2 linked regions of the Tamandua tetradactyla genome follow. The protein of the gene in region 2 interacts with the protein of the main gene of each other region in a pairwise test. Links are inferred from orthologs where the notes say so. Each region holds a gene or a part of one and is shown on either strand. Other genes may lie near its edges.

What was found. The genes of interacting proteins can lie anywhere in the genome.
Region 1: the proteins of THAP1 (region 2) and TCEA2 interact in binary tests that used the Homo sapiens proteins (3 or more experiments, as listed by UniProt). The two-hybrid records come from large-scale screens. The link is inferred for Tamandua tetradactyla from reciprocal best matches to the Homo sapiens genes THAP1 and TCEA2.

Annotation. Positions count from the first base shown.
Region 1 is NC_135327.1:61,526,713-61,530,460, forward strand, and holds the start of TCEA2 (transcription elongation factor A protein 2), read left to right. Parts: upstream 1-939; 5' UTR 940-1,128; coding exon 1,129-1,200; intron 1,201-3,748. UniProt on the Homo sapiens protein: Necessary for efficient RNA polymerase II transcription elongation past template-encoded arresting sites.
Region 2 is NC_135329.1:18,331,201-18,334,948, forward strand, and holds the start of THAP1 (THAP domain-containing protein 1), read right to left. Parts: upstream 2,827-3,748; 5' UTR 2,815-2,826; coding exon 2,723-2,814; intron 561-2,722; coding exon 365-560; intron 1-364. UniProt on the Homo sapiens protein: DNA-binding transcription regulator that regulates endothelial cell proliferation and G1/S cell-cycle progression.

The DNA.
Region 1 (3,748 bases), on a different chromosome or scaffold from region 2:
TCGTGAACACTCCTGCAGACCACCCTGGCGTCTGCATTGCTGAGGAAGTGGCAGGCATCTAATATGGACGCTGCCCCTGTTGCCCCACCACCACCCCCAGCCAGGTCCCGACCCTGAGCATCTGCTCTGCAACCACAGGCACCACGACTCTAACTGCCCCATCCCAGGCTGTTCTCAGTGCCTGACATCAATCACGATTCAACCTGCCAGAAGCACTGCAAGGCAGGTACTGTCCTCTATATTTCACAGATGGGGAAATGGAGGCACGGAGTGGTCCAAGGACGGCTGGAGGTGTAGAGCTCGGGATTCTAGCCCGCCAGGCTGACCCCTGAGTCAGCAGCCTCCAGCTTATGCTTGCCTCCCGGACGCCCCCAAGCTGGGTCTTGGAGAGATGACCTTCTGAGTAGCGGTTGGGGTCAACCCAAACTGAGTCTGGGTATGACGAGGGAGAACTTTCGGGCAGAGGCAGGCCACCCGGGCGGAAGGGGTCTCTGTGGTGGTGGGCCGGTCGGGGGGTTTGGTGAGCAGGGCTGTGGGGTGGGAGGTTCTGCTGGGTCACCCGTGTGAGGGAACGGGCTCGAAGGCGCCAGACACAAACCCAATACTGCCGGACCCCCGCAGAAGCCTCAGAGGCAACGCAGGGGCCCGCGACGGGGCGTAACACGGCCCCCGACCCGGGACCGGCGGACCACCCTCCAGGGCCCGGCCCCTTGCCCTGCAGCCTCTGCGTTCCCTGCAAACCCCCGGGGCTGACGCGGCCCGCAGCTCCTCCTCGCGGTGGTTTCTGGTACTGCGAGTCTTCCGGCTGGCACGGGCCGCGGCGACGGTCAGTTTCGGGACTACACTTCCCAGAGGGCTGTGAGCGCGCGCGGGGCAGCTTGGGAGTCGTGGTCCGATGCAGGGAGCGCGCGCGGGGCGGACGGGCGCGGGAACTACGCGCCCCAACATGCAGCGCGGCGGCCGCGGGGTTGGGTGTTTGAACCGAAGGTCTCCCACCCGCGGCGGGGCTGCGCAGGCAGCGGTGGGCTGGGAGTCGCTGCGGTGTGGGAGGCAGCGGCTATCGGGTTGGGGTCCCAGTCGGGCTGCCGGGACTGGTGCGGCGGGCGCTAGGGCGCCTTCCCGGTGGCGATGATGGGCAAGGAGGAGGAGATTGCGCGGATCGCCCGCAGGCTGGACAAGATGGTGACCAAGAAGAGCGCGGTGAGGGGCGCGGGCCGCCAGGAACCCGGGACCCCCGCCCCGTCGAGGCCCCGCCGTCCGCGCCTGGGGCCCCGAGCGGCAGGACGAGACCCCGTCCCGGCAGAGCCTCGGGACGCGGGGAGACCCCCGCCTCAGTCCGAAGCCCCCGCCCGGGGCCACCTCTGCCTTCAACCCCGCGCCCCCGGCACTGACCGCGATCTGGCCCGGACCTTTTCCCGTGAACCGCCGGGCCGGAATTCAGACCCCTCCCGCCACACCAAGACCCTCAAGCCTGGGCTGTGACCCCCGAGCGCGGGCCAGTGGAAACTTTCCTGGGGTTGCCCCGCCCCCCTGGCCTTCCTCCCTTCCTGCCTGGATGGCCTCTCTGGCTTTAGATCTCCCCCTCCTCAACCCTGGTTTGCAACTCAGAGCTTCTCTCAGCCCAGGTTCCCCATCCCTTTTCTCGCCTCCGTCTGAGCTCCTCACTCCCTTAGCCCCTTTCCCCGCAGCTACCAGTGCCTCCCCTAGGTCTTCCTTCTCATCCCTTTTCACAGGCCAGAGGCCTTTCCAGGCAGCGACCCCCTCACCCCCATCCCCAAAGTCCAGGTCTTTAATAAACGCTCCCTCGCTCCCTTAGCCAGAACGCAGCCTGCAGCGACTTGGGGGGGGGGGTCGATGTGTAGAGATCTTCAGGCTGAAGCCTGTGGGCTTTTATAAGACCCCCGAGGACCCACCTGAGTCCTTTGTTACTCGGAGGCACAGTGCCATGGCCGCTAGGATGGCCCAGGATGCTGGGGTTGCCCCCAGGAGGTCACTCAGGAAGCATCCTTGGTGGGTTGCACCTGCCCACAGGGTAGTGGGGAGGGGTCACCGCGGTCCTGCCGCAGACAGCAGTGGCACTCTGCTCAAGAAACATGACCTATTCTTCCTTCAGACTGAGCTCCTGGGGGCGGGGCCTCTGGGGTGCACTCATGGGGCGCCTCCAGGGGTGTCAGCTGCGGCTCTGCTCTCAGGCCTGACCCAGGGGGTGAGTCATGGGCCTGAGATACCTGTGTAGACCTCCAGGCTGGTTTGGGAGAGGTTTTGGGTAGGGTTGAGTCTGGATCTCGGGTGACGGGTTCTGGGCTGGGGTCTGCCTGGGGATGCATGGGGAGGGGCGGCTCCCACTTGGCCCTTCACCCAGTCAGAGTTGGGCCTGCTCGGGCTTTTGTCCTGGGGTCTGTGCGCAATGTGCGTGAAAGGACCAACAGAGAGCCCAGGCGAGGCTGAGCCTTGATGTAGCCATTTCCAGAAATGACTGCGGGACGAAGTCGCTTCCCCTGGTAAAGGAGACAAACAGGATAATGCCCAAGCTGGGTGTGTGTGCCAAAAATCACGGGACCCAGGGAGGGCGCACTGAGGGTCGTGTCTAGGTGGGAAGCTCAGTCCTCAGAAGATGGGGAGAGGGGCGGGTGGGGGTGGGGGGCTCCACCCGTCAGAGTCTGCAGCTTGCCTAAGCGTCTGAAGTCCCTCCGGAGATGTGGGGCTGTGTTTGGGGAAGCCAGAAGTCGTTGCCGCAGCCATGGCTCCCACACCGACATTTTTATGCCTCCTCTGGTCCCCAGGAGACTGGTTGGGGATGAGTGGTGGGCGGGGCTGTCTGTCCCTTCCGAAGTCACCCCAGGGGTGGGGCCTGCTGAGCAGAGAGGCAGCCTGGGGTGGGGGTGGGGAGTGTCCAGCTGAGCCGCCCACCCCCCCCCCCAAAGCCTCTAGGCTTCAGGACCTCTTAACTCTTATTCCCTTGGGTGGCTGGGTTGTTGATCCCTCAGGGGTCATCCCTGGCCCCCTGCCCTTGTCTGGTGGGGAGAGACATGTCAATATGGGATAAAGTGATGCATCTGGAGGCAGTCAAGTAGGGTGGGCACAGGTTGCAGTTTCAATAGGAAAAGCCTTGCTTAGGTAGTGTCATTGGAGCAAAGATTTGGAGGAAGGATAGAGGTGAGACCTTTAGTACTCCAGGGAGGCGTGAAGGCCCTGAGGCATGTGGCTTCCGCTTAGCTGGGACTGGGAGGGACTCTGCGCCTGAGTGCTGGCTGGCAGCACCAGGGGTATTGGAACAGAAGAGCTGAGGGGATGCATCTGCCAGATTGGGGGCAGGGTCAGAGGAGGAAGACCCATGGGATCATGGCCCAGGTGAGGGGTGGAGGTGCAGAGCTGGGCCCACCAGATCAGCCGATGCCACTGAGGGTTTGTCCTGAGCAGGAGGACATGCCCCTGGTGGGGTCCTCAGTAGGGAAACCCACAACCTCTGCCCAAGACATGGGGACAGGTGGGTGGAAGACACAGGACCACACCTACCTGGGTTGACTGTTTGTTCCTCTGGGCTGGCCATACTGTCCCCTGAGATGTGGCTCTCAATCACCTGCTGGGAGGTGCAGTGCCCCACAGATGCTCTTCTGGGCCTCTGTGGGGTCTAGATTAGAGAGTGATGTAAGGTGGTTATGAGGAAGTTGTCAGGTTGGAAGGCTGGGCTGGATTGTCCTTCTCATTCCTGCCCCTCCGGGCTGATGAGAGGCACTTTGCAATGTTG
Region 2 (3,748 bases):
ATGCAATAAACAGGCAGAACAAGCACTTCAATTTAATTAAATATGTACTAAGTGCTTAAAACTGAGGAACAAAAGACTATGGGCTGATAAAGAAAAACCCAAACTTACCAACATACAAGAAGGGTTATAGAATGATCTTTAAGTTACAAAGTCAATATATGTTTCTAAGAAAGAAAATATTTATTTAATAAACTGCATCTTATGTTTTTAAACAGTATATTTCTGTTAATAGTAGTTATTTATAAGTAATGGGTACTAGGTAGTATTTATTTTCTTAACATTACTCTGAATTTTCCAAATTTCCCACAATACATACATTAGTTTTATAAACAGGAAAGCACCTAATATTTTAAAACACAATTACCTTGTCATGTGGTTCAGTACAAAGAAATATCGTGGGTACAGCGTTCTCTTTCAGTAACTTGTTGTTGCATTCCCTCTTAAAGCAGTCTGGAGTAAAGTGCTCTGAACAAATACTGCTATATTTGGTGGGTTTAAAGTTTTTCCTTCTCACAGCTGCCTCCCATTTTTTACAAAGACTGGGTCGTGTAAGAGGAAACCTAAGAAGATGACATAACTCAGTTCTGTGACATTATTAAAAAAAAAAAAGCACTACCTTACATTGGTGTTAACATACTAAAGAACTTTTGTTTAAAGAATAGCTCCATATATCTATTTAGCTCATTGATTAAAGTTAACTTTATTTGAAGACACAAAGTCTCAAACAATATACTTGTCATAAAGTGAATTTGTAGTATTGTTTATACCAGTAATTTTCTGTACGTATGTGTGTGCTGTAAAATAAAGTTGCACATTTATATCTATGTGCTGGGAAGAAAACTCTTCTAGTTCTCAAGAATTAATCTGATAAATATGAACAGATGGAATTTGAATTAATCAAATTATAGGCGAATGATAATGATAAAGAAATAAAGAAAATTATGTCTTTATTTTGACTTACTTCTTAAGTAAATGGAGTATCTCCCTTAGGCCCAGATAAAGGGAGGTAAGAAGAATTTAAATTTACTGTAATTTTATTTTCCAGGTCAAAGATCTAGTAAACCCGGAGGATTTCAAAGAAGCCAAAAAAGCATATTTCAAACCTATATTCTATTCTACAGTTTCTCTTTCATCTAAGGTATGCCAGGGCCTTACTGCTATTATCATTAAGAGCGAACTGATCTTAATGACAATCGCCCCTCTTTGTCCAGCACAGCTCATCCTGCTGTCAACAAGTTTAAACTGGGAGAAAAGGTACTTCTAAGAGGGTCCCTGCTGCATATGGCCTCCTGAACCAAGGTACAAATTCTCAGGTTGTGTGTGAGGTTCTGTCAAGATCTTTCCCATCTCAATGGCTGAGAGATTCCAAACAGAGTCGAGAGGTTATCCTGCAGGTTATTCTCATGCATTAAGTAGATGTCACCTTGTTATCTAAGACGAAATGGAGAGGCTGGAGGGAACTGCCTGAAAATGTAGAGTTGTGTCCCAGTAGCCATGTTTCTTGATGATGATTGTATAATGGTATAGCTTTCACAATGTGACTATGTGATTGTGAAAACCTTGTGCCTGATGCTCCTTTTCTCTACCTTGTCAACAGATGAGTAGAACAAATGGAATAAAAATAAATAATAGGGGAAATAAATGTTAAAATAAATTGTTTGAAATGCTAGTGATCAATGAAAGGGAGGAGTAAGGGGTATGGTGTGTATGTTTTTTTTTTCTGTTTTCGTTTGATTTTTCTGTTGTCTTTTTGTTTCTTTTTCTGAATTGATGCAAATGTTCTAAGAAATGATCAGGATGATGAATCTGCAGCTATGTGATGATATTGTGAATTACTGATTATATATGTAGAATGGAATGATCACATTTTGGGAATGTTTGTGTTTCTGTAATTTTTTTAAATAAAAAAATCATAAAACAAACGTTTTTTCATAAAAAAAAGATCTTTCCCATCTACTTCCCCAAATACTGTTTAGGTAAGGGGTGAGATGCAGTTAGCTGTTCTTTAGAATCAATCGTTTTAATATCCAGCAGAAATTCAATGTTTCTAATGTGTGAATGTCATCCTTAACCACTTTCCAGTGCCAAGGAAGAGTTTTTAGATTCCCTCTGAGGTGAGGTATCAACAGAAATGCGTGGATGGGGAGCTGAATGCAAACGATAGTGGCACTATATCTGACCTATTCCTACTGGAAGTCAATGTCATTAGGGTTCTGAGATTACAATAAATCAAGAGATATTAGGCTCTACTGAACTGAATCCTGCAAGTATTCTATACCCTCCTACGTGAATCTATGTTCTAAGCTTCCATTTCAAGATCTACATTCTAGGCTCCCATTTCTGTAGCGTCAATCTCACATTATATCAAACAGATTAAGATCATCCACATCCCCGACTAAACATAAACAGTATGTAATCCCCACTCTCTATTTCCCCCCACCCCAAAGAATACTTAAAATTTGGCTTTTGTAATTATTTGAATATGAAAAATTTTTGATATTTTACTATTTGCTCTGATTTCTCAGCTATCTATGTAGATTCGGAAGCTCTCGCAAAGAAAATTTAACGTAAATTTAAAATCTGTAAATACTAAGTTTGGCTGAATAAAAATGCCGTCATGGCCCACGCTGTAGACATTCAACATCAACTCAATTTCGATTTTGTAGTTTTCCCATTGAGAAGACAATATTTTTCGCCATAAGGTTGTAATTGCAGCACCTACTGGATAAAACAGCCCTGAAGGCTGCGAGGGCTTCCTCTATGTTCCCACAGTACCTCATATTGACCTTTATCACGGCATTTATTATGGTCCATATTACGACTACGGTGTGCTGAAAAGACAATCAGTTATCGTGGCAGTACCAGAAGCTTTCCTCTAAGACTTAGGAGTCCCTGACGTTGTTCCTTTGAGTTAAATAAAAAATTAATAAAACGCTCCCTCAAATCCTGGCCAGAAAATGAATCCATACTGCTGCGATTCTGGCCGCCCATTCACAGAAAGTTTCTCAGGAACGAAAAACTGACGTCCACCGTCTTTGTAAATGTCTTTGTTTCTATTTCAAAAACGCCGCTGAGGAGTTACCGCCACCTCACTCTGCAGGGCTCGGATCTGAGAGCCTCGACATCTCAGCACCCGAGGGGACTCGGCGCCTCGCCCACGGGCTCGGAACTCGCCACCACGAGTCCGTCAGCAAGCGACACAAGTGCGCCTCTCCGACCACGAGTAACGGTCACCGCGGCAACGCACCGCGAACGCGCGCGGCCCGGAAGAGCGCGGCTCGGGCGCAGGAGCCGCGCCTCTCCACGAGGACCCCCGCCCGGCACGCCCCCGACGCGGCGCGCCCCGCCCCTGCCTCCGCCCCCTGCTCCTGCCTCCGCTCCCTCTTCAGTCTCAAAGCAGACCCGCGCCGGGCTCCGCCCCCGACACTAGCCGATCGCGCGTCCCCAGTCCCAGCTGGGGCCGGTCCCGCGAGGCACGGAGGACACTTACTTGTGGAAAGAAACGGGCTTATCCTTATCATATCGGTTCTTGCAACCGTAGGCGGAACAGGACTGCACCATCCTTCCGGTCCTCAGTCAGTTCACTTCTGCCGTCACGGCAGGCAGGTGAAGCCGCTATCCGTGTCGCCGCCTTCGGCTTTGACACCCTTGTTTCTTCTGTAGCTTTGGCCAACAGTTACAGTGATGGTAGCCTCACTCGGGTATGAGTACCGCGCCCGTTCTGTTGCTTGCTATAACAGAAAGACCA